4 linked regions of the Yarrowia lipolytica genome follow. The protein of the gene in region 1 purifies or fractionates together with the protein of each later gene. This does not show direct contact. Links are inferred from orthologs where the notes say so. Each region holds a gene or a part of one and is shown on either strand. Other genes may lie near its edges. The genes, in order: YALI1_E15144g, YALI1_E16493g, YALI1_C30632g and YALI1_A21919g.

Region 1 (6,720 bases):
GTGGCCAGGAGGGACAGTTTTTTGCCGGCTTTGAGCTCGGAGAGATTGAGCAGCCAAACGCCGACAACACCGACGACGTGGATGACTCTGAGAACAATGAGAAGCGAGACGAGGATTCCGACATCCCCTACCTCAACAACCACTACGACATCACTGTGGAGTACCACACCACCAAGCAGGGCAAGCACCGAGTGGTTGGCGTGGAAATTCTGCCGCGATCTCTCGACCGATCCGGCGCCGAGGAAGACCTCTGTGGTGACTACCCCAAGCTGCATCTCCAGACTGATCCCGATACTAAGCAGCAGGTGGTTTTCACCTACTCGGTCACCTGGAAGCACTCAGACACCCCCTGGGCCACCCGATGGGACAAGTACCTCCAGGTCCACAACCCCCAGGTCCAGTGGTTTGCCATCATCAACTCCGCCATCGTCGTCACTCTGCTGGCTACTACTGTTGCTACCGTTCTGACCCGAGCTCTGCGAAAGGACATTGCCTCCTACAATGAGATTGATCTGTCTGAGGAGGTTCAGGAGGACAGTGGATGGAAGCTCGTGCATGGAGACGTGTTCCGAACTCCTAAGAACCGAATGATTCTGTGTGCCTTTTTGGGTTCTGGAGCTCAGATGTTCGTCATGTGCGGCCTCACAGTCTTCTTCGCCGTCATTGGATTCCTTTCGCCCTCCAACCGAGGAGCTCTTGGAACAGCCTTCATTCTCTTCTACTCTCTGTCTGGCTTTGTCGGGGGCTACGTGTCTCGAAAGTTCTACAACACCATGGGCGGTGAGAACGTGAAGATGAACCTTCTTCTGACCCCCGTGCTTATCCCCTCCATCATCTTTGCCGCCTTCATTGGTCTCAACTTCTTCCTGATTGCCTACAACTCTGCTGGAGCCGTTCCCTTCGGTACCATGCTTGCTCTGGTTGCCGTGTGGTTCGCCATTTCTGTTCCTCTGTCCATTGCTGGAGGTTTCATCGCCAAGACTCCCTTCTCTGTGCCTGTCAAGACCAACCAGATCCCCCGACAGATCCCTCAGCAGCCCTTTTACCTGGAAAAGGTCCCCTCTGTGGCCATTGCTGGTATTCTGCCCTTTGTGGCCATCTTCGTCGAGCTGTACTTCATTGTCAGCTCCATCTGGTTCCACCGAATGTTCTACATGTTCGGCTTCCTGTTCCTGTCGTACGGTCTCATGCTGGTGTCCACCGTTGTTGTCACTGTGCTCATGATCTACCTGCTGCTGTGCTCCGAAAACTACCACTGGCAGTGGAGATCTTTCTTCATTGCCGGCTCGTGCGCCTTTTACGTGTACGCTCACGCTCTGCTGTTCCTCATCAACAAGCTGGCTCTGGGCTCCTTCACCTCCAACATTCTGTATCTCGGCTACTCCGCCATCATTTCCCTCATTATGTTTGTGCTGCTCGGAACCGTGGGCTACACCTGTTCCTTCTTCTTTGTGCGAAAGATCTACACCGCAATCAAGATTGATTAGACAAGTTAGCATGGCGGTTGTAAAATCTCCCAATAAAATTTTATGAATATTACTGAGCGAACAGCACAGTAGCTATAGACGTTACAGCTGCATTGCTCTCAGCAGACAGGAAATATCGTATCGATCAGCTCCCTTGACAGTGTATACCTTCAAGGGACTGGGTACACTGTATCAACAACTGTCCATGTTGTACTTCTAAAGTACTTGTATACATACTACATATACCACTTGTAGCACTACTTGCACTGGTACTCGTACTGTACCAGTTATTCAGCACACTAACGCATAATACTCTAACGCTTCCTTGGTTACTTGAACAACCAATCCAAACACTCATACTGTAGACGCCTAAATTATTCAATGTCGATATTTTTTTTCATCTTCGGCTCATCCAGGCCACATTGAGTTTGATGAGTTGCGTCAGAGCGGTGTGTGCACAGGGATAAAAAAAATATTTTTTGGATTTGCGTGCAGAGCTCCCTAATGATTGGTGCGCTTACGTAACTACATTCCGACGGTGTGCGGTGTACATACAGTCTGTTTCCACCGTATGCCAGTGTGTGCAAGGGGGCCAAAAAAGACAATAGGGAAAAAGAAACCGAAAAATACGGGAAAAAAAGGGGCTCAAAGTAAGTGCAAGTTGAAAGTGAGATTGCGACGGAATTTTGAAGGGGGAGGGATATTAGACGACGGGGCCGCGGTAGACTTGCCAAATCACGTGACCACCAGACAGACTCGACCCCCCGCACGTGACCGCGGTCCCGTCCCTACGCCAGTGCGACGTCAATTGCTGTAAAACACCCCGGCTCTGTAATCGTAATCGGTCCTTGTTTGAGTGCACAGATGCACCCCCTAACCCCAACTCTAATCGAAAAAATTCCAAGTTTAAATTTTCTCTCGCTATCTCACAGTCTCCTCTTAACTTGTACCTCACTACACGATGGACGACTTCACGGTGCAACTAGCCCAGCTTCTGGGCCAAATCACGTCCCCCAAATCGCCTGAGGACATCAAAAATGCGTCTCAGCGACTGCAGGCCGAGTTCTACATGAACCCTCAGTGTGCCGTGTCTCTGATCCACATTATGCAGAAGCACGAGGACTCTGGAATCAAGCAGCTGGCTGGAATCGAGGCCCGAAAGCAGATCCCCATTTACTGGGAGGAGAACGATCAGGCCGTTCGAAACGAGATCAAGAACTCGCTTCTCCAGTCCACTCTGGCCGAACAGGTGGCCCTTGTACGACACACCTCTGCCCGTGTTGTGGCTGCCATTGGAGAGATTGAGCTGGGTCTGCAGACCTGGAATGAGCTCCCCCAGAGCCTCAACACCGCAATCAGCTCTGGAGACGCCCGAGATCGAGAGGTCGCTACCTACATCATCTACATTCTGCTTGAGGTGGGTGCCGAGACCTTTGTGACCAACGCCTCCAACATTCTTCCTCTGGTGTCCGTCAACATGGCTCAGAACGACGCCGAGCTGCAGGTTACCTCCATGCTGTGCGCTGGTATGATCTCAGAGCTGATTGACTCTTCCGACTCTAATGCCGAGATGTTCAAGAAGCAGGTGGTGCCCCAGATGGTCGATGTGCTCAAGGGTGCCATGCAGCGTGACGACGACAAGACCCTGCAGCTGTTTGAGGTCTTCTCAACCCTGCTTCTCATCGAGGGCGCTCTTGTGGCTGATCACATTGGCGACCTCGTCCAGTTCATGCTGGAGATTGCCAAGCGAGGCGACTCTGACGAGAACAAGATGGCCGCTCTACGGTTCCTGATCTCTGCCGTGCGATTCAAGAAGCGACGACTGCAGGCTCTGGGTCTTGGGCCCACTCTCACCAACTCCATGGTCGAGATCATTGCACAGCAGATTGCCGAGTTCCCCGACGAGCAGGACGACGATGATGAAGATGAGGATACTACCCGAAAGCTTGCTCTGCGAGTCATTGGTTATCTGTCCAACGAGCTGCCTCCCAAGCAGGTGCTTGTCCCCATCTTTGAGCTTCTGCAGCAGCAGCCCAACTCGGACGCTGTGCTTTCTGCTCTCTCCTACGCCATTGAGGGATCTCCCGAGTTCGTGGCCACTCACCTGGACCCCGTTCTCGAGTCTGTCATTGGCACTCTCCGACAGAACCCCACCAACGTGTCTGCTCTGATGGTTCTTGTCCGTCTGGCCTACCACCTGCACCACATTATTGGTGAGCACCACGCTACTCTGGTGCCTCTAATTTGCTCTGCTATGGATGCCTCTTCTTCCCCCGCTCAGTTCAAGGCTGCCACCTCTGCCCTGGAGTCTGTGCTTGAGACTCTCGAGCAGGACGTCATCGCCGAGAAGTACCTGGCCGAGCTCATGCCCCGTCTCATCACCATGCTGGACCAGGCCCAGGACGACTCTCTGCGAACTACTCTGATCGCTGCTGTTGGTTCCGCTGCTTTCGCTGCGAAGGAGGCCTTCACTCCCTACGCCGAGCAGTGCATCAACGGTCTTGGCCAGCTTATCAACCTCGAGAATGCCGCTGAGATGACCGAGGTCGAGCTCGCCGTCAAGGGCTCCGCCTTTGACACTATCGGCGCGATTGCCGGCGCTATTGGCAAGGAGGCCTTCCGACCCTACGTCAACACCTTTGCCGAGAAGGCCTATGCTACTCTGCAGGTGGATCTGCTGCGAGAGGCCGGCTTTGTTTTCTTTGGCGTCATTGCCAAGCTGTACGGCGAGGAGTTTGGCCAGTACCTTCCTCGAGTTATTCCTCTGCTTGTCGAGTTCCTGGGACAGGACGACTTCGGCTTTGAGGATGAGGATGAGGATGATGAGGCTATTGGACAGGAGGACGACGACTCCAAGTTCAAGGTCAACTCGCTGCTGGCTACCCAGAAGGAGACCGCTTTCCAGGTGCTTGGCGACATGATCCTCGCCACCAAGGGCCAGTTCCTCAACTTCCTGGAGGAGATCACCGATCCCCTGTTCTCTGCTCTCGACCACTTTTACGAGGGTATTCGAAAGGAGGCTCTGGGCGCCGTGTGGAAGATTTTCCACTCTCTCTACAGCATGGCCAACCTTCCCCAATGGAAGCCCGGTTTCCCCGCGGACACCTCGGCCTACCCCGAGTCTCTGTCCACCTTCCTGCAGCTTGCTCGAACCAAGACCGTCGAGCTTCTGGAGGAGGAGGACTCTCGACTGGTGGTAATTGCCATCTGCGAGGTGCTTGTTGAGGCCATGAAGGCCGCTGGACCCGCCATTCTCGGCGACGAGGACACCCTGCGAACCATTTGCTCCCAGGTGATCCTTGTGCTCAAGAAGGAGCACCCCGCCCAGATGGAGGAGGAGGAGATTGACGCTGCCGAGCTCGAGCAGTCCGAGTACGACTCCCTCATGCTGGACTACGCCTTTGACGTGTGCGCAGCCATGTCTGAGTCTCTCGAGGCTCACTTTGTGCCCATCTTCAAGGCTCTATTCCCTTACGTGCAGAACTACGCCAACTCCAAGATGGATGAGGAGCGAGCCTTTGGCATTGGTGCTCTGGCCGAGATGACTGTCGGCATGAAGTCCTCCGTCTCCGAGTTCACCGGCGAGATTCTCAACATCTGCATCAAGGGTCTCACCGACGCCCATCTCGATGTGCGATCCAACTCCGCATTTGCATTTGGTGTGTTGGCCGAGAACTCTACTGTCGACCTCACTTCTCAGTACCCTGCCATCCTCCAGAAGCTGCAGCGCCTGCTCACCAAGGTCGACAAGCAGGCCAAGAAGAACCTGTCGGACGACCCCGAGGACAACAACGACCGATGTCTGGCCAACGCCTGCGGTTGTGTCGCTCGAATGACCCTCAAGGCTCCCGGCTCCGTACCCATCAGCGAGGTGGTGCCTGCCCTGGTGGCTCGTCTGCCTCTGGGCGACGGCCAGGAGGAGTATGTGCCCATTTTTGGCCTGTTTGCCGCTCTGCTGGAGCACAACGACCCCACTATTGTGCCTCTCAAGGGTGACATCTCCAATCTGATTCAGGAGATTGCCCGAAAGGACGAGACAGAGAAGATCCTGGACGACCAGGTCAAGCAGAAGCTGGAGGCAGTGATGCAGAAGATGTAGAAAAGTGGCTAGGTGGTCGAGACTATGCTAGATGATTTAATAGATGTTTTATTTATACGATGTAGACCGGGCTCTTGATTTGAGGAGCTGAAGATAGGAGAGCACAATTCTTGAGCCAGGGCTGCTCTCTCGAAGCCTTTCGCTTTCCGAGAGTCGTGTCTACTGAATCCATAACAGAAGCTCACATCCACCCAAGTTGGAAAGCGCTAGTAAAGCAGGTTGCAGGGACATTATTCCAGAAAAGATTTATTTATCGCCCGCGCCAGTGGCATCAGTTGTATTCTGTGTCTGCAGGTAGTGTCATTCCTATCGTATCTAGCGTTGAAGCGTGAATCCATAGAGTGAAGAGGTTGACTCTTTAAATTGGATAGAGGATCCGTGAAGTAACTGAACTGAGGAAATTGGCCATTATATATATTCTTCTTCCACAGTGCCTCCATTCATCTGTCTTTGAATGCTGTTATAGGTATTATCGCATGGTAGCGTTCACAAAGGAGTTGGGAGAAGGTCCACGATTCTGAAATAATATCACCGAATGTCATGACGATATCGAAAGATACAAAAGAAAAAAAAATCACAAGTATGAAACGGTTATCGTTGCTGTATCAACAGATTATAAAAAAATGGACGACACCGGAATCGAACCGGGGACCTCGCGCATGCTAAGCGCATGTGATAACCAACTACACCAGACGCCCTCGTTAAAAACACGGATTTTTGGCATCCACTTTCAGAAATGTTGAAAAATAGAATGAATCATTAGAATAAAAAAAATAAAAAAATGTATGATTTATTGAACGCCAATAACCCGGCTTACTACTTGTAGGTATATAGCTGTAATGAATCATTAGAATAAAAAAAAAAAGTAATGAATCATTAGAATAAAACAAAAAAAACCCAGCAAAAACAAAAAACGAGGGACGTTTTTGACCGTTTCAAAGTGTTTCGAGGGTAGTAGAAATGTAGAATATAAACACACTACTGGTGTTTCTTACGAGTATATAATATTCATGTTTTAACAATGGTATTGATGGACATCAATGTTTGTTGTTGTGTGGTAGGGGTCGAAGAGACCTCTCTCGACTATTATCACTTCCTGAAGTGACCATCAAAAGACTGCAAGTTGAAAGATGAGTTTTAAAAGATAACTGAACT
Region 2 (4,650 bases), about 140 kb from region 1:
AGTTGCGGTACTGCAGAGTTCAGATGTCGTCATACAACCCCGTTGTTTCCATCAGCCTTTTTATGCTCGGCAACTACCTGCGAATTCTTGCCGGTGATATTGCTGAGTCCAGGGAGAACGACTTCCTTTCGGACGACGATTTGGAGTCCATTGTGAATCTCGCCTACGCCTTTTTTTCGTCTGCTCACGAGAATCTCAGCTTCACACATCCTGCAAGCCCCTACGTTGAGCAGACCATGATCTGTGGCGATCTTGTGAGAAAGGACCATGACAATCTGGAGCTTGACGCGAATCTCGTGGTCAGTAAGCATGGTCTTGACCACGACATGTCTGTTCTGTGCGGCTTCCTCTACGAATATCTTGCTCATGACGGGCTTCTTGCTGACGGATCTTTCCCCCAGTCCATCCATATTTTGGATGTGAGTCCTGAGGTGGAAATGATCAAGGGCAAACTGGAGTTTTGGTACCGCCCCATGTCTTCTCCTCCTGTTACTGTGTGATTAAAGCACATGAAGATGAAAGATATACATAGATATATAATAAAATACATAAGCTGGTTAGTAGACTAAACATCATTGAGGGCGACCGAAAGTGCGCCCTTGTGGTGGCCACTGTATTGTCTGATGATTTGCCCAGATGCCAATTCCCACAGCCGCACGTAATGGTCTGAGCTTGCGGTGACAAGGTATGCCGAGTCAGCACTGAATGCGCAATCCCACACCCATCGCTGGTGTCCTGTGAGAGTAGTTTCCAACGAGAATCCATTTTTGATGGACCAGATTCGGGCCGTGTTATCTGCGGAGCAGGTGGCCAGGTGCTTGACGTCTGGAGATAGCAGCACCTTGGTGATATACTTTGAGTGAGATCTGAATTTGGTAATGGGATGCAGAGAAGTCACGTCGCGGGTGTTGTGCATTTTCCACACGTAGCAGTTGCCCTTGTTATTTCCGGCCACCAACATTGATCCATCCGACGCCACAGACACTGATCGTACAGGCACGTCTTCTTCGGGGATCAGTTGGTGAGTGCATGTGTTTTCGCCGAGGTCCCAGATTCGAATGTTTCCCTCCTGGTCGCACGAGATGATTTCTCCTTGGTTGGGGTGGATCACCACATCGTTAACGGGGCATCTATGCTTGTAGTTTCTCTGGACTGTGGCGGTCCGCATATCCCAGACCTTGACTGTTCCATCTTCCGACGAAGTGACCATCCATTTGCCATCGTACTGGAATGCCAATGCCGTCACGTTGCCTGTGTGTCCCTCAAAGGTCATGACCGCCTTGGGGTTGTTACTTCGAATGTCGTACAGCCGCACTGTGTTGCCTCCTGCTGCTGCCAGATACCTCTTGTCTGGCGTGATTGCCAGTCTGTTGACCTGCGAATCAGGATGCTGGATGGTTCGCGAGCAGATTCCACTCAATGCCTCCCAGAACTTGATGGTGTTATCGTAACTCGACGAGCACAAAATCACAGACATGTCCGACTCGGCTGCCGCGGCCTGCTGCTGGGGTTGGACCTGGCCCTGGGGCTGCGCCGGTGGCTGCTGAGGCTGCGCGGATGCTTGATTTGTTTCCGAACCCATGGATTCAACCTGTTTCGTGCTGCTCGAGATATCACGGACTAAACGGCATATTGGGAGCGGCGAGATTAAGCTATGGTCACGTGAGGTGGACCTCTCTCTTCCCCCCCCCCCAGAAATCAGCCAAATCAGGACTACCCTAACCCTGATAAAAAATATGGAAATTCGAAGGTACTCATTTGAGATCGTCAATTGAGGAAAATTGGGTCTGTTTAGCGGCCAGAGCGATCCATTGGCTGAGTTTGCGGGTTTTTCCGTGGATTTTTTTCGTCTTTTTTTTTTGGCCTTGCGCGGTTCATGTATTAATATTGCCCTGCCTGACACACACGCCTGCAAGTACAGTAGCTACGCTACGTACACTTTAACACCGAGAGGAGGAGGTATGGGTGGCGAGGGGAACGCTCAATTGGTAAGAATTTCTCTCTACGTGCGCGCGCTCCGACATCCTGTCTGTCACGTGACTTTTCCCTCTTTTTTCTGTAGCTATTCTATTGCGCTAAGTATATATATATCACACTCACAGCCAAACTGCCGCCTTGGAATTTAGCTCTGTCGTGGTCCCAATTGCCAACCTTATCGCGGCGAAGACGCTGGAAGGTTCACAACCAATCTCGAAGGCTCCAGAAGAGTCGAGTGCGAATAGGCTCTGAGCAATACTTAAGGCGGGTGGTCAGCACTTTTTTTGCGGGCTCTTGTAACGCACGACATAGGTTACTACACCCATACATTTTCACAAGCGATACTATGGTGAAAGAAACAAAGCTCTACGACGACCTCGGGGTGTCTTCTGGCGCCAGCGAGGCGGACATCAAAAAGGCGTACCGAAAGGCTGCTCTCAAGTACCATCCTGACAAGCCCGGAGGAAATGAGGAGAAGTTCAAGCAGATTTCCGAGGCGTACGACATTCTGTCAGACAAGGAGAAGCGAGAGCTCTACGACCAGTATGGTCTAGAGGCTGCTCGAAAAGGAGGAGTTCCCATGCCCGAACCCGGCCAAGGAGGCGGGTTTCCGGGCGGAGGCGGGTTTCCCGGCGGCGCCGGAGGTTTCCCCGGAGGTGGCTTCTCTAGTGGAGGAGGCGGTGGTGGCCCTCAGACTTTCCACTTCTCTTCTGGTGGCGGTGGTCCGGGTGGCTTCGGTGGTTTCTCGTCTGGCGACGCCTTCAACATCTTCAACTCATTCGGACAGCAGGGCGGATTCGACGATGAGGGAGACGACTACGGAGGATTCGCCAACCTCTTTGGCGGACGTGCTGGCCGCCGTGCAGGAGGCATGGGTGGCGGCATGGGCGGTATGGGAGGCATGCCGCGCCAGAGGGCCCGATCGCCCGAGCGAACACAGGTGACAGTCAAGATGCCCGTGTCTTTGGAGGACCTGTGCACCGGTGCCACCAAGAAAATGAAGATCACCCGAAAGGGCCCCAGTGGCCAGCCCGAAGAGAAGGTGCTGACCGTCAACATCAAGCCCGGCTGGAAGGCAGGCACCAAGCTCACCTTTGCTGGCGAGGGAGACTCTCAGCCCAACGGTGGCCAGCAGGATGTGGTGTTTGTCATTGAGCAGAAGCCCAACCCCGTGTTTACTCGAGACGGTGATGATCTCAAAATGTCCATCAAGCTGTCTCTCAAGGAGGCTCTGTGTGGATTCACCAAGATCATTGAGACCCTGGAGGGCAAGAAGCTCAAGATTGAGCAGCGTCTGCCCATCAACCCCGGCCACATTATCACCTACCCCAACTATGGTATGCCCATTTCCAAGAAGCCTGGTGAGCGTGGTCAGTTGATCATCACCATCAAGGTGGACTTCCCCAGCTCGTTGACCGACGCCCAGCGAAAGGCCATTGAGGACAACTTTTAATAGACTAACTTATTGTACATAGAGTGCAAGAGCATTCACATGTAAGAATTAATAAATGATAGCATGATCATGGAGACAATTGTACGTGTGCATGAACAACTCATTACTGCAGCCTTAGTGCAACTCTAAGGATGATTTAGTTGGTGAGGTTTGGCGGGTGTAAAGAGGACATGGAGGTGTTTATAGGGATCAGGGGGAGGTTTGGAGGGTAGGAAAACATGTAGAATGTCTTTTAACGTCCAATTGAGCTGATGGGACTTCTGAGCGCCTTCATTTGGGGCTTCTGACGGCTCTGCTGAAGAAGTTGGTATTGTGCTGTCGACGACATTTTGAAGGCTTTTTAGCATAATTAGCAAACTAAATGTGCAATCGACGTGGGCAGATAAGCGGTGACGTTTGGAGGGCATTTTTCATGTACATGTACAATCACGTCGACGGCCCGTCAAGTGTTCAGAGGGATTATCGTCTTGTACGAGGCATGTGGGTTCTGGATGTGGGTTCTGGAACATTCTAGAATCTGTCGAGTTGAACGAATCTGTCGAGTTCAGCGAATCTGTCGAGTTCAGCGAATCTGTCGAATTCAACAGAAGAGCATTGTGACACAACTTCTTGCAAGCTGATGTGTGATTTGACGACGAGTGGCTGTTTGCATTGGTGTACTAGGGATGTTTGTACATTGTGCTTTACGGTACGAGTACGAGTAGTGTAGTTATGAGAACTTTTTTCATCGACTTTACATCTCCTACAGAACTGAGGTCAAGAAGATGGGTTGGTTAGAGTGGGAAATAGAGGTTCATCTTCAGGTGGTGGTCGTGGACGCATCTTCAGGTCGTAGAGACATCTTAACATCACGAAGATACAGTAGTTATTGCTGGTACGCACCTGTACCGATACTAGAAGCCTGTGCTCTGAGCTCGTCCAAGTGGGCTGTGAACATGCCTCCGGAGAGGGAGCTTGGGTGACAATTACTGTTACAGCCGAGCCAGTTGACCAAGTAGCCTCCGTACTTACCAACGTTGTCTCATTTGATCAGGGAGGCGACGCAGGTGTTGCGAATCCATCGGGTGTGCTCCTCGAGCGACAACGCTGGTCGGAAGCCATGTCGCCACAGCGCTTGAAGTTTTTCACATGGCTGAAGTTCTTCAGGCTGACGGTCAAGGGAAATGCCACGCTCATCCAGAGCTTGGAGCCACTCGGGGTCGATATCCGGGTAGCCCGAT
Region 3 (5,063 bases), on another chromosome or scaffold:
GAGTGCGTTGACCCGCCCAAAGATGGATCGCGCATCCTGGCCAGTTTGTTTGGTGATCTGCACAGCGGTAGCTCCATCTTCTCGAGCAGCGGCAACAACACACAGTGCTTCAAAGGGGAATGCTCCAATGGGGTTGTTCTTCTTGGGTCTGCCCGTCAAAGTACGCCACTGGGTGTCTTCGTCAGCGTACACCTGAACCGAGTCCTGGGGGTATGTCTCGAGCAGAGTTTTGTAATCAAGTTTGTTGACGGTCTCGGTCTCGTCTTCTCCGTTGACTCCAACGACCATACTGGGATGGTTCATGAGCCATTTCCAAATCACTTGCTGGAGTTTGGGCGTGAGATTTGGAACCTTGTCGTAGGAGAGTGTCCACAATTGGGGGAGGGTTACACCTAGGTTAGCAGAACACGAGTCGAGTGTACGAGCTGTGAGAGAAGGGTAGAAGAGTCATGGAACATTGGAGAGCAGGGATGGCGCAGGTGCGAACGGCATAGCAACGAACGAGAAGACTTGGGCAGTCCTATCAGTGCTGTTGAGTACAGTCACAATTCGACCAAAAGTGACCGCTGTAGAGAAAAAACACCCTCAATCAAACTCCATCGCCATCTAGAACGTTCGGGAAGGGTTTCTTCACAGCTTGGGCGTTTTTCACCCCTCCCTAGAGCTATCAGCTAGTCTCAAGTGGACCAAAAACACCCTGATCCTGTCTCCGAAGAGACTGAACAGCTCACACCGACCAGACACACGCACGAACACGTCCATTCTTGCCTCTTCACGTAAATTGCGGCGTTCGCAAAAAAATATTTTTCCCTCTGCGATGCTGCATATCGACCATTTGGCTGGTGGACTGTCGAGACGGGGTTTTTTTGTCCATTTTGCCGTTTGCGTCACTCAGCCGGGACACTCACCTCCGGGACCAAACAGGGCCACGTTTTCCACGAGATAGTCGACAATCTCGTCGGGGGAACTCATGGGTCGGGTTATTGCTCGGGTAAAAAAATGACAAGAGAGATTCGAACTCACGAGGTTATCCGGTAGGGTAATTTGGGACGTAACCCTAGACGACGGGGTTGGGGGAAGCAATTGAAGGCGATATAACGACGTTGCGGGGATTCGAAGAGTGGATATGAGCGAGGTGCAACATTGCCGCCGGAGTGATTGTAGTTCTTGTGGACTTGGTATTGCTTCATATAGTGGGAGGGCAAGGGGAGGGGAGGAAAGTAAGAAGTGTTCAATATACGGGTATGACGAGAATTACACTTGTGGGGGTATTTCAGAGTCTGACTGGGGATGGACAACTGTATGGAGGTGGAGGAAGAGCTGTGGGGATCATTTTGTATGGCGAATGTTGGATTTGTACAAAGTCCGATTATATGAGGTCACGAGGATGGTTTTGTGTGACTACGGCACTGATGGAGTATTCCGGGGTGTGATGATGTCTAGTTTAGAATGGTATGTTTGAATGGCTACTGAGCGTCAAGGAGGAGCAGCCGGACTGTCGCGGAGGAGTAGCCGGACTGTCGCGGAGGAGTTGATGTTTGCGGAGGAGTTGATGATTGCGGAGGAGTACTTCACATTACCATACTCGTGGAGCCGGTTGTCGACTTCCTTTCATCTCAGATCACCCGCTCAACCTCATGCCAATAGCGTTTTCAGACATGAGCTCGCTTGTACCAGCGGTTGAACTGTAGGCCGTCAACACGACGCCTCGTGGAGACGTATCGGACATCAGAATGGGAAACCAAAGACACAAATCTAGACAGGAAGCTTCGACGATCAGATTTATGTGTTTATATCCCACAAAAAGCCCCTCCAACCCCTCTTTAGTGCTGCTCAAAATGCTCTCTCAGCCCCCCCAATAAAGCCAAATCCCTAACCTCCAACCTCCCAACATGCATGGTGCCAAAAAAATCCACATGATACACTAACTAACTACTTGTACGCCTGTGACGACACCAACGTCGACAAACACACCGTTGGCGCAGCATCATGGAAAACTCCCGCGTCGTCCGCACCAAAAGCTCGCTCCGCAGCCTCCGAGGGGTCTCCCTACGGACCGCCCCCCAGCCCCGGCCCGTCGGCGGCCAGCCCCCCCGCTGAGGGACACAGAAGCGGTCTCTTTTCCCGGGTGGTTGGGTTTTTCCGCCCGCACAAACCCGACGACCCCAATCAACCAACACAGAGCCACTCGCCTGCAAATTTGGCCCGGGACCCGCCCGTCTCAGCGCTGTACCCCGTGATTGACCGGTCGCGGACCTTTGAAGAGCCCCAGATGGAGGAGGAGATCACAGAAACGGTGTACACGCCATCGCAGACACCGCCCCGACACAAACGCATTTCGCTGGGCCCCGGAAAATCGCCCAACCAACGCCTGGCAGAGTTCTTCGAGAGAAAAGGAGACGCTCCTTTGAGTGATGTGGAAACCGCAGGTGTACTGGCACTCATCAACGAGGCGGCCAGCGACGATCCCAATCTCGCCGAACGACTGTCGCCTACAGGAACCCAGCACGACCGATCGGTTCGTCATAGCATGAGTTTGGCCAATCTGGCAGGCCGCAACGAGACGTACGGATCGCCCTCCAAGATTCCCAGACGAATGGAGCCCGCTGCGAGTGTTAATGGGACTCTCAAAAAGTCGAGATCAATGGCCTCTATTGGCCAGAGAAACTCCCGTGTCACTAGATCGTCCCTCGGTGGAGTTAGAGGCCGTCCATCTCCCATGATGTCCTCTCCTAAGCGATCTGCACGACAGGCCCTGTCGCCTAACCGAGTCACAACCACAAACTCCACATCGCCCATCACCTCACCGGTCTCTTCTGTCGCAGATAGACCTCTTTCTGGAGTGGCTTCTACTCTTCTGTCTCTGATTGATGATGACGAAGAAGAGGTTGTCACACCAGCCGAATCCTCTCCCGCAAAGGAGTTCATCAACCCCTACGCGTCTTCTCCTCGACGACCCGAGCGAGAACGATCTGCCAGTCAGTTGACCCCCCCGTCGCGTGAGAAACTCATGACTCCTTCCCCCGAAAAGAAGGAGGCGTCGCCGTCAAAAACCCCCTCCCAGATCATCAGTCAGTCCATGCCTCTGGAACAGCAGCGGGAGCGAGATAGCGTCAAGGCCCAGCCGCAGATGAAGAAGTTTGACAAGTATAAGCCTGTGCGATCCAGTAATCTGCGAGACTCCTTTGTGGCCGACCCCAAGTCTCCCGAAAGCACCAAGACCTCGGCGCCGAAGCAAACTGCAGTTTCTTCGTCGGGATCGCCTGAATCCATGCCCCCTTCTTTCACGTTTGGTAACAAGACCAACAACGGTTTCACCTCCAAGCTGAAATCGTCTTCTCCTTCCGGGGACGAAGATACAGATGTGAAGATCGGCAAGGATCTGGCATCTTCTGCTGCCATTCGCTCTCCCTCCAAGCCTCTGTACCCTGAGATTTCCAAAGATAAGCCAGTTCTGCCTTCCACTCCCAAACTGGCCAAGGCAGGTATTCCTTCTACTCCCCTATCCGAGGCTGCCAAAAAGTACGGACGAGACTTTGACTTTAGCACTCCCCTCAAGGGCGAGGTGCCCAAGCCGTTGACTCCAGCAGACAAGTCCAAGGTGGACCAGTTCAAGAAGGATTTCGTTTTCTAGAGAGAGGACCAGGAAACGATAAGGATGTATAGCATGAGAAGGAATAACCAATAAATGATATTGTGTAAACATTTGTGTACAGGGAATACGAGGCTGTGGGTGAGTAACAGTGGTACCGTGAGCTACATAGTGTGTAACAAGAGGCGCAGACATCGTCAAAACTACAGTCAGACTTTGAACTGGTTTGGCCATCTTCAGACTCCGACTTAACTGCCGCCGGAGGAGGTTAAATAGTCATGTTTTTGTATTCCTAGGCTATGTTCGTGAGTGAAAATGTATATATAGATATTTTATCACCCTCTTAAAAAAAATATTATTTTTTATTTTTTTATTTTTATATTTATTTCTATTTCTATAATTCTATATATTTCTATTTATTTCTATTTTATTTCTATTTATTTCTATTTATTTTTTATTTATGTATATTCATAATATATTTATTTATATATTAAATAATACTTTTTATCGTATATTCCTAGAGCCCAAAAACCGTCGCAGAAAGATTATTTTTGTACCGAAATACTCCCTAAAATCCACAGAAAAATCTCACATCAAAATGCAATCCCATTTCTTTCAAATATGGCCTCTAAAAGCGCCTTTTCTGCCTCCAAAATAACCCCACTTGCAACTCTATTTGGTGGCGTCATACGTAATCACTCGCTTCCTATTTGGGAGCTGCTCACATGCAGTGTGTTTATTCTTATCTCGGCATTCCGCGACTACGATACTAATCACACACATGAGTTCTTTCAGCGACGCCGTAAGCCTGGAGGCGCAGCCGGCGTACTCGGACTCGCCCGAGTTCGACAAGCTTAACGCCGATATCTCCGACACGCTGTTCCTGCTGAACAACAACCTGGTGACGCTGGGGCGGCTGCTCAAGGCTGCGCAGAACACGGGGGGCAAGCGGGACGTGGTGGGGCGGGCGATCGATCTTGCCGACGAGACGCGGGACCGGTTCAAGACGACGGGCGAGGATCTCAAGCGGCTCAAGGAATGGGACGACACAAACGCCGCCCAGCGGTTCACGCAACAGAAGCTGGGCCGGGAGTTTGCCACGGCATTGTCCGAGTTTCAGCAGATCCAGAAACGGCTGGCCGCGCACGAGAAGCAGGAGATCAAGATGGACAAGCAGGCGGTGCTGGAGTCGGAGTCGAGGGGCGAGGGTCAGCAGCAGCAGCAGCAACTGCAGCAGCAGGATGTCATGACCCAGGACTTTATGAATCAGTCGGAAACAGATCAGCACATGACGTTGATTTCGGAACGAGAGGAGGAGATCAGAAACATTGAGCAGGGTATCGAGGAGCTCAACGAGATTTTCTCCGATCTCGGTACCATTGTGACCCAACAGGGAACCATTGTTGGTGAGTATGACGGGGGGAGGGGGGGATGTTGAGCAGAGGTTTTGTTTAAACAGGGCGTAGACCAG
Region 4 (5,444 bases), on another chromosome or scaffold:
CTTACCTTCATGCTCGGATGCATCAAAGCCAGCTGATAGCACCACCAAGGGCTTAAACTCGCGCCCTGCCTCCCGAGCCTCACGCTGGGCCCTGAAAAAGAACTCGTTGGCCTTTTCGAATAGCACACAGTACTTTCTGTAGAGCTGCCAAAACTCCTCTTCGGTTTCGTACGGCTCAAGATGGACGTTCCAAATGGCTAGACCATGGCCCATGAGACAAGTAGACGCATTTCTAAGGGCATCTGGAGTGGCATAGCCTAGCTCTGTAGGGAAACTGTTGATGTCATGCACACTAAAATACCCAATGGTGGGAGACGGATAGGAGTGCTTCTTCTCGGGCTCAGGGGTGTGTTCGGGCGTGGTGTCTGCACCCACGTTCACCTGCGACCAACAAATGTCTTGTGACCCATCTCCGTGGTGCAGATCAAAATCAAGGATGACTGCATGTGTCACGCCGTATTGCTTAGCAGCATATTGGATGGCCACATGGGCATTGTTGATTAGACAGAACCCGGAAGGGTCGCAGGCGTGACAATGGTGCCCTGGCGGTCTAATGTTAACAAACGCCTGCGAAAAAGTGCTTGTCTTTCCCTCGGGAGGTGGTGTGTCGCCAATTGAGAGTTTCTGGAGAGTTTCGGAGACATCTGAATCATACAGTGCGTCCACACCACGCTCAACTGCACCTACCACGCCCTTTAGAGCAGTCAGTGTCTCAGGGGACAAATAGATGTCACCCTCGGGCCAACCAGGAGGCAGTTCCAATTGGCCAGCTTCAAGCTTGTCCTTTGATTCCAGACACAGCTTCTCCAGCAAGTTGATATACTCAACGCCATGGACAGCTGTCACATGCTCACTGGACAAATTAGCCTGTCTGACAGACTCTTCAATCTCAAACTTGCCCGGGTTGTTTGCGATAGCCGCGCCAACACCTAGAGATGTAGCCTTGAGCCGCTCGGGTCGTTCCACCAACGAGTCCTTGTATTTTTTTCCCATCCATGAACGACCAAAAGTGTGTTTGTACGATAGGGGAGATTGAACAATTAGCGTCTGGGCAGTTCCCGAGAAGCACCCAGGATATATCTTGTCAATTGCAATCTTGAATGACGTCACAGCGTCGTAATCATCTGAGGAGGTGGCCACAATCTTGTGAACAGGTGTCTCAGGGACAACTGCAGGGGTTTCTGTTTTCAAGGGAGTGGCTTCAGGGGTGGCCAACTTGAGCGGAGTTGCTTCAGGAGTATTTCTGTGACTGACATGAGGGGTCTGAAATTGTGTGGAAGGTATGGCTGGACTTGAGTGTCGTGAAGAATGGCCCGAATGAGGTGCTGAGGGAGGTACTGAAGACACAGTACCAGAGGCACCCATGTCGAACAGAGCTGGGTCGATAGCTGCTCCATCCTCCAGTCCAGGCTCCTGCTTGATATATCCGTTATATCGCTGTCCATGAGACATGTCTTCACCTCCTGGGGCGGATCGTGTATGCGGCGTGTAATAGGCGCTTGGTGTTTGGGGTGGCTCTTGTTTCACAACTTGGGGGGTATAAGGCTGCTGGGTGTGAGATTGTTGCTGAAAATTCTTGTCCCACGGTTTGGGGATTCGATGGTTTCCATTTGGCTGTTGACTGCCGTTTTCAGGTGTCTGTTGCCGCTCCTGATACTCCATCTTGGTTGTTGTTTTGGTGGAGTGCAGATGTAACGCGTCATGTGTGGACTTAATCTGAACCGTATATTTGAGACATGAGATAGGGTGTTTACTGAAACGGAGAGTGTTCATGTGACCAGAAAAGGGATTGAGGACACATTTGGACTTTGAAAACTTCATAGACAAATACTTCTTGACACCCTGACTGATGGCTTCTCCACATGTATGTATTGTACCTGTAGCCCACCTCATCTCCTACCAAGCTTGGCTAAACGAGAGCTTTAGTCTATAGACAATCAGCCTCAACGGCTGGACATCAGGTTTTGAGAGGTACAAATCACAGTTTGTTTTTTGCTAAAATTGTTCAAGAGTACCACGTGTAATCTCTCACTTGTTCCTGTCACAAAAATACCCCTAGTTACGTATCCCTCAATTCTGGTATTCGTATTTGTATTTCTCAAGTCATGTGTGAAGGAACTTAATTTAAGAAAGGGGCTGGTATACGGATATGCACTACGTTCGAGTGTGTACTTCTTTACCACACCGTCCAAGGGCAAGTACAGCACCACCATATATAAGGATGCAGCATATACAATACACACGTTTATTTTGATCACGCACCCATTTATCTATCATATATCACCCTCCCACCATGTTACAAATGGGGTATGTCACCAACGGTTTAGCGCGTTTTGAACCCTGGCCTTGGTGAGGAAACTCAATTGGGGTTACCCTGCCGAGAGCTGGGGTAATTTGCCAGCGCCACTTATCCCAACTCGCCGACGAAAATCGAACCTCGTACTTCCACACCACACAACACCACACACTCAACCATGTCCAACCTCGACCAGTCCCTCGACGAGATCATCTCCGCTGCCCCCAAGCGATCCAACCGAAAGAACCGACGAGGAGCAAGCGCTGCTGGAAACGGTGGAGTCCAGAAGGCCACCCCTGCCGCCCCCAAGGCTGGTACCCCCAAGAACAAGCAGCAGAAGCAGCAGCAGCAGAAGAAGGTCGCTGCTATTGTCAACCCCATTGACGAGGCCAAGAAGCTCGCCAGCAAGGTCATTATTTCCAACCTGCCCCAGGACATTGGCGAGGACGCCATTCGAGTATGTTAAACCGAAGATACACACACGCGACACTGCTAGAGTGATGCGTGGAGTGGACTCAGTTGCACCTGCAGCCTCAAGGCGCACACAGCAACATCAACGGAGCTGATACCGATTCGTGAACGCTTTCTTCGAAAGTCAGTAGCAAGGGAAGTTGCCATTTTTGTGATGGCAGCACCTCATTCAACAGTAGCCAGTATTTCTGCTCTGCAAAATTCTTGGTGAAGAGTAACCGAATTTCCTTCTTTTTAGGAATAAGGTGAAGAGTAGCCAGACGCTTCCCAGTGAAGAATGTGGTGAAGTGATACGCGGTTTCGGGAGCAGATCTGGATCGTCCTCGGACTGATTCCTGCGCTCACGGCCATGCTTATATGGCCAACCGACATTCCGAGAACTGAAACTGAACGGCCTTTTCAAAAACAGCTGCTAGAGAGCTGAGAGCGGTGGGTTTTGCTTGTTGTCATAATGGAGAGAAAGATCGAAAGCACTCATTGCTAATGTGACACGAGCCGGATTGAAAGCTGATGATCAAAGACCTGCGCATATTCCTTGCCTTGTCTTTGCAGCTGTGCGAGGGAAGAAAAATCCATGTCCAGTTTCAGAAGTCAGCCCCTGGAGGCTGGCAAACCTGTTGCAAATTGCTTGTCGCAGGTTGTCCCTATTACTGGGATTTCTCAGGAATGAAAGTCTGCACCAGCCTGGCTGGGTCAGAGTTAAAGCCGCCAGTAAGACATTGTATAATCCTTGTCAGATTCCTCTGACACTCATTTATGCTCTGCTTTGCTCCCCATTTTCGGATCAGTTCCGTTGTGATTCACGTGATTCCTTAAGAACTCGTGCTGACCATTAGGACTACTTCAAGACTGAGATCGGACCCATTTCCGCCTGCACCATGGTCTACAACAAGGGTGGACACCCTGCCGGAATCGTCAATGTCACCTTCAAGCGACAAGGTGATGCTGCCAAGGCCGCCGACAAGTTCAACGGTACTTCCATCGACCGTGGAAAGCGATACATGAAGGTGAGCAGCTAGACATAACAGAGGAGGATCAAGAGAATCAAGAGGAGGGAAATGCCGGCGACAGTGACGACAAATTACGACCATGACACCATCAAATTGACACTCTGCCTTATTTGGACAGGCAGATGTTACTCTGGAGGAGGAATACCATTGATTGCCGTCTACTGCGTGCCGATAATTGCTTGAGACGAAGCGATTTGGATACTAACACAGGTTGAGTTGGTTTACGACCCTTCCAAGACCCCTCTGTCTGCCCGACTCCAGCCCAAGCCCGAGCCTGCTCCCGCCAAGGCCACCGTCAACGCTGCCGCCAAGGCCAAGCAGCAGCAGCAGCAGCAGCAGAAGAAGAAGGCCACTAAGCCCAAGCCCAAGAAGGCCCCCAAGAAGACTGTGGAGCAGCTCGATGCCGAGATGGCTGACTACTTCCAGGATTAAATAGAATTTAATTGATGTATATTAGCTTTTTAATACTGGTCTTGAGTGTTCTGTGTTATGATAATTCCCCCTCAAGTGGATTCTATATCCTATGGTTGACCAATTGTACGTACTGTAGCTACTTGTACTGCATTGTAGTATTGTATGTGCTGTGTCACTCGTCTTTTGTACAATGTGTCATGGCGGCAGCCGTCAGAGAAGGATCTGCCGTAATATACAGAAGCAGTTAATCACGCCGAAACAGAGACTAAAAGTTCAGTACTGGCGAGGCGACCCCCTGTCATGGACTCCAAACCCTGTGCCTTGTTTCTGTATAGATAGCTACTGTACTTGTAGACGCTAATTATTTCCAATCATAAATTCGAAACATCGCCATTCGCTCGTAGTATGATAGACTAACGGCCCTACCCCCAAACGATAGACAAATACACGAGTCTATGAAAACACTGCCTAATTAGAACGCGAAAAGGGGCATGCACAAACCTACTGGTACAGTATTGTATCATACTAAAAGCCCCATGATTATTAGTGCTCTAACGTGTAAGCCGGGTAGCCGAACCCCGTACTATTTTAGACCCCGTTTCGGACAGAGTACAGGCCCATCAGTCTCGGCGTCCGTGCACTGTATACAACTTCTGACACATTTCCCCTCTGTGCTCGTGTTTGACAGCTCGTCCCCACCTCCTCGCACGGTCTCTTAACTCTCTTCGGTCTTGCGTATTTGCGCGTCTGCAAAAGGTTACTTTCCCCTGAGTACACTCAACTTGTTCCGCTATACGAAATTAAAGTTGGCCCCCTGTCGTTTACTTGTACATCAACCACACACATACAAGCCCAACACCTTACATCAGGATCTCTGGCCAGACCGCATCACCACCTGGAGGACACCATGCAGACGCTGAATCCGTTGCTCCACATCGAGTATGTCCTGGCGGCCGAGTTCGACATCGACGCAGGCCCTGTGGTCAAGTACCAATACCCCGACACGCTTCCTGGCGACGAGCAACTCATGGCGGAGCTCATGCTGCCAGATCAGAGCCACGTGCGCAACCAGGACTGGACGATATTCTTTCTGCACGACGAAAACGGGCTGCTCAAGTACCGCCCCAACGACAAGGGCGACATGTTCTACGTGCTCAACCTCGTCAATACCAAGTTCGATAAGGACGTGCGACGAGGCGCTATCGTCAAGAGTATGTGTCTGATTACGCGTTACCCCTACTTTCAGATCTTCA

What was found.
Region 2: the proteins of YALI1_E15144g (region 1) and YALI1_E16493g purify together in Saccharomyces cerevisiae (affinity purification with mass spectrometry; 3 studies listed by BioGRID). This does not show direct contact. The link is inferred for Yarrowia lipolytica from reciprocal best matches to the Saccharomyces cerevisiae genes KAP123 and SIS1.
Region 3: the proteins of YALI1_E15144g (region 1) and YALI1_C30632g purify together in Saccharomyces cerevisiae (affinity purification with mass spectrometry; 8 studies listed by BioGRID, with this or other methods). This does not show direct contact. The link is inferred for Yarrowia lipolytica from reciprocal best matches to the Saccharomyces cerevisiae genes KAP123 and NUP60.
Region 4: the proteins of YALI1_E15144g (region 1) and YALI1_A21919g purify together in Saccharomyces cerevisiae (affinity purification with mass spectrometry; 4 studies listed by BioGRID). This does not show direct contact. The link is inferred for Yarrowia lipolytica from reciprocal best matches to the Saccharomyces cerevisiae genes KAP123 and YRA1.

Annotation. Positions count from the first base shown.
Region 1 is NC_090774.1:1,511,993-1,518,712, forward strand, and holds YALI1_E15144g (uncharacterized protein), read left to right. Parts: upstream 1-2,427; coding exon 2,428-5,565; downstream 5,566-6,720. Other genes in the region: YALI1_E15115g (uncharacterized protein), read left to right, coding at 1-1,487.
Region 2 is NC_090774.1:1,647,018-1,651,667, reverse strand, and holds YALI1_E16493g (uncharacterized protein), read left to right. Parts: upstream 1-2,323; coding exon 2,324-3,430; downstream 3,431-4,650. Other genes in the region: YALI1_E16531g (uncharacterized protein), read left to right, coding at 1-500; YALI1_E16501g (uncharacterized protein), read right to left, coding at 566-1,582. UniProt on the Saccharomyces cerevisiae protein: Required for nuclear migration during mitosis. It is required for the normal initiation of translation. Might mediate the dissociation of a specific protein complex of the translation machinery. Essential for viability.
Region 3 is NC_090772.1:3,061,012-3,066,074, forward strand, and holds YALI1_C30632g (uncharacterized protein), read left to right. Parts: upstream 1-2,272; coding exon 2,273-3,634; downstream 3,635-5,063. Other genes in the region: YALI1_C30614g (uncharacterized protein), read right to left, coding at 1-392, 909-972; YALI1_C30653g (uncharacterized protein), read left to right, coding at 4,374-4,998. UniProt on the Saccharomyces cerevisiae protein: Functions as a component of the nuclear pore complex (NPC).
Region 4 is NC_090770.1:2,189,416-2,194,859, forward strand, and holds YALI1_A21919g (uncharacterized protein), read left to right. Parts: upstream 1-2,474; coding exon 2,475-2,753; intron 2,754-3,603; coding exon 3,604-3,774; intron 3,775-3,987; coding exon 3,988-4,209; downstream 4,210-5,444. Other genes in the region: YALI1_A21913g (uncharacterized protein), read right to left, coding at 1-1,893; YALI1_A21945g (uncharacterized protein), read left to right, coding at 5,099-5,444. UniProt on the Saccharomyces cerevisiae protein: RNA-binding RNA annealing protein. May have a role in pre-mRNA metabolism. Component the TREX complex, which operates in coupling transcription elongation to mRNA export.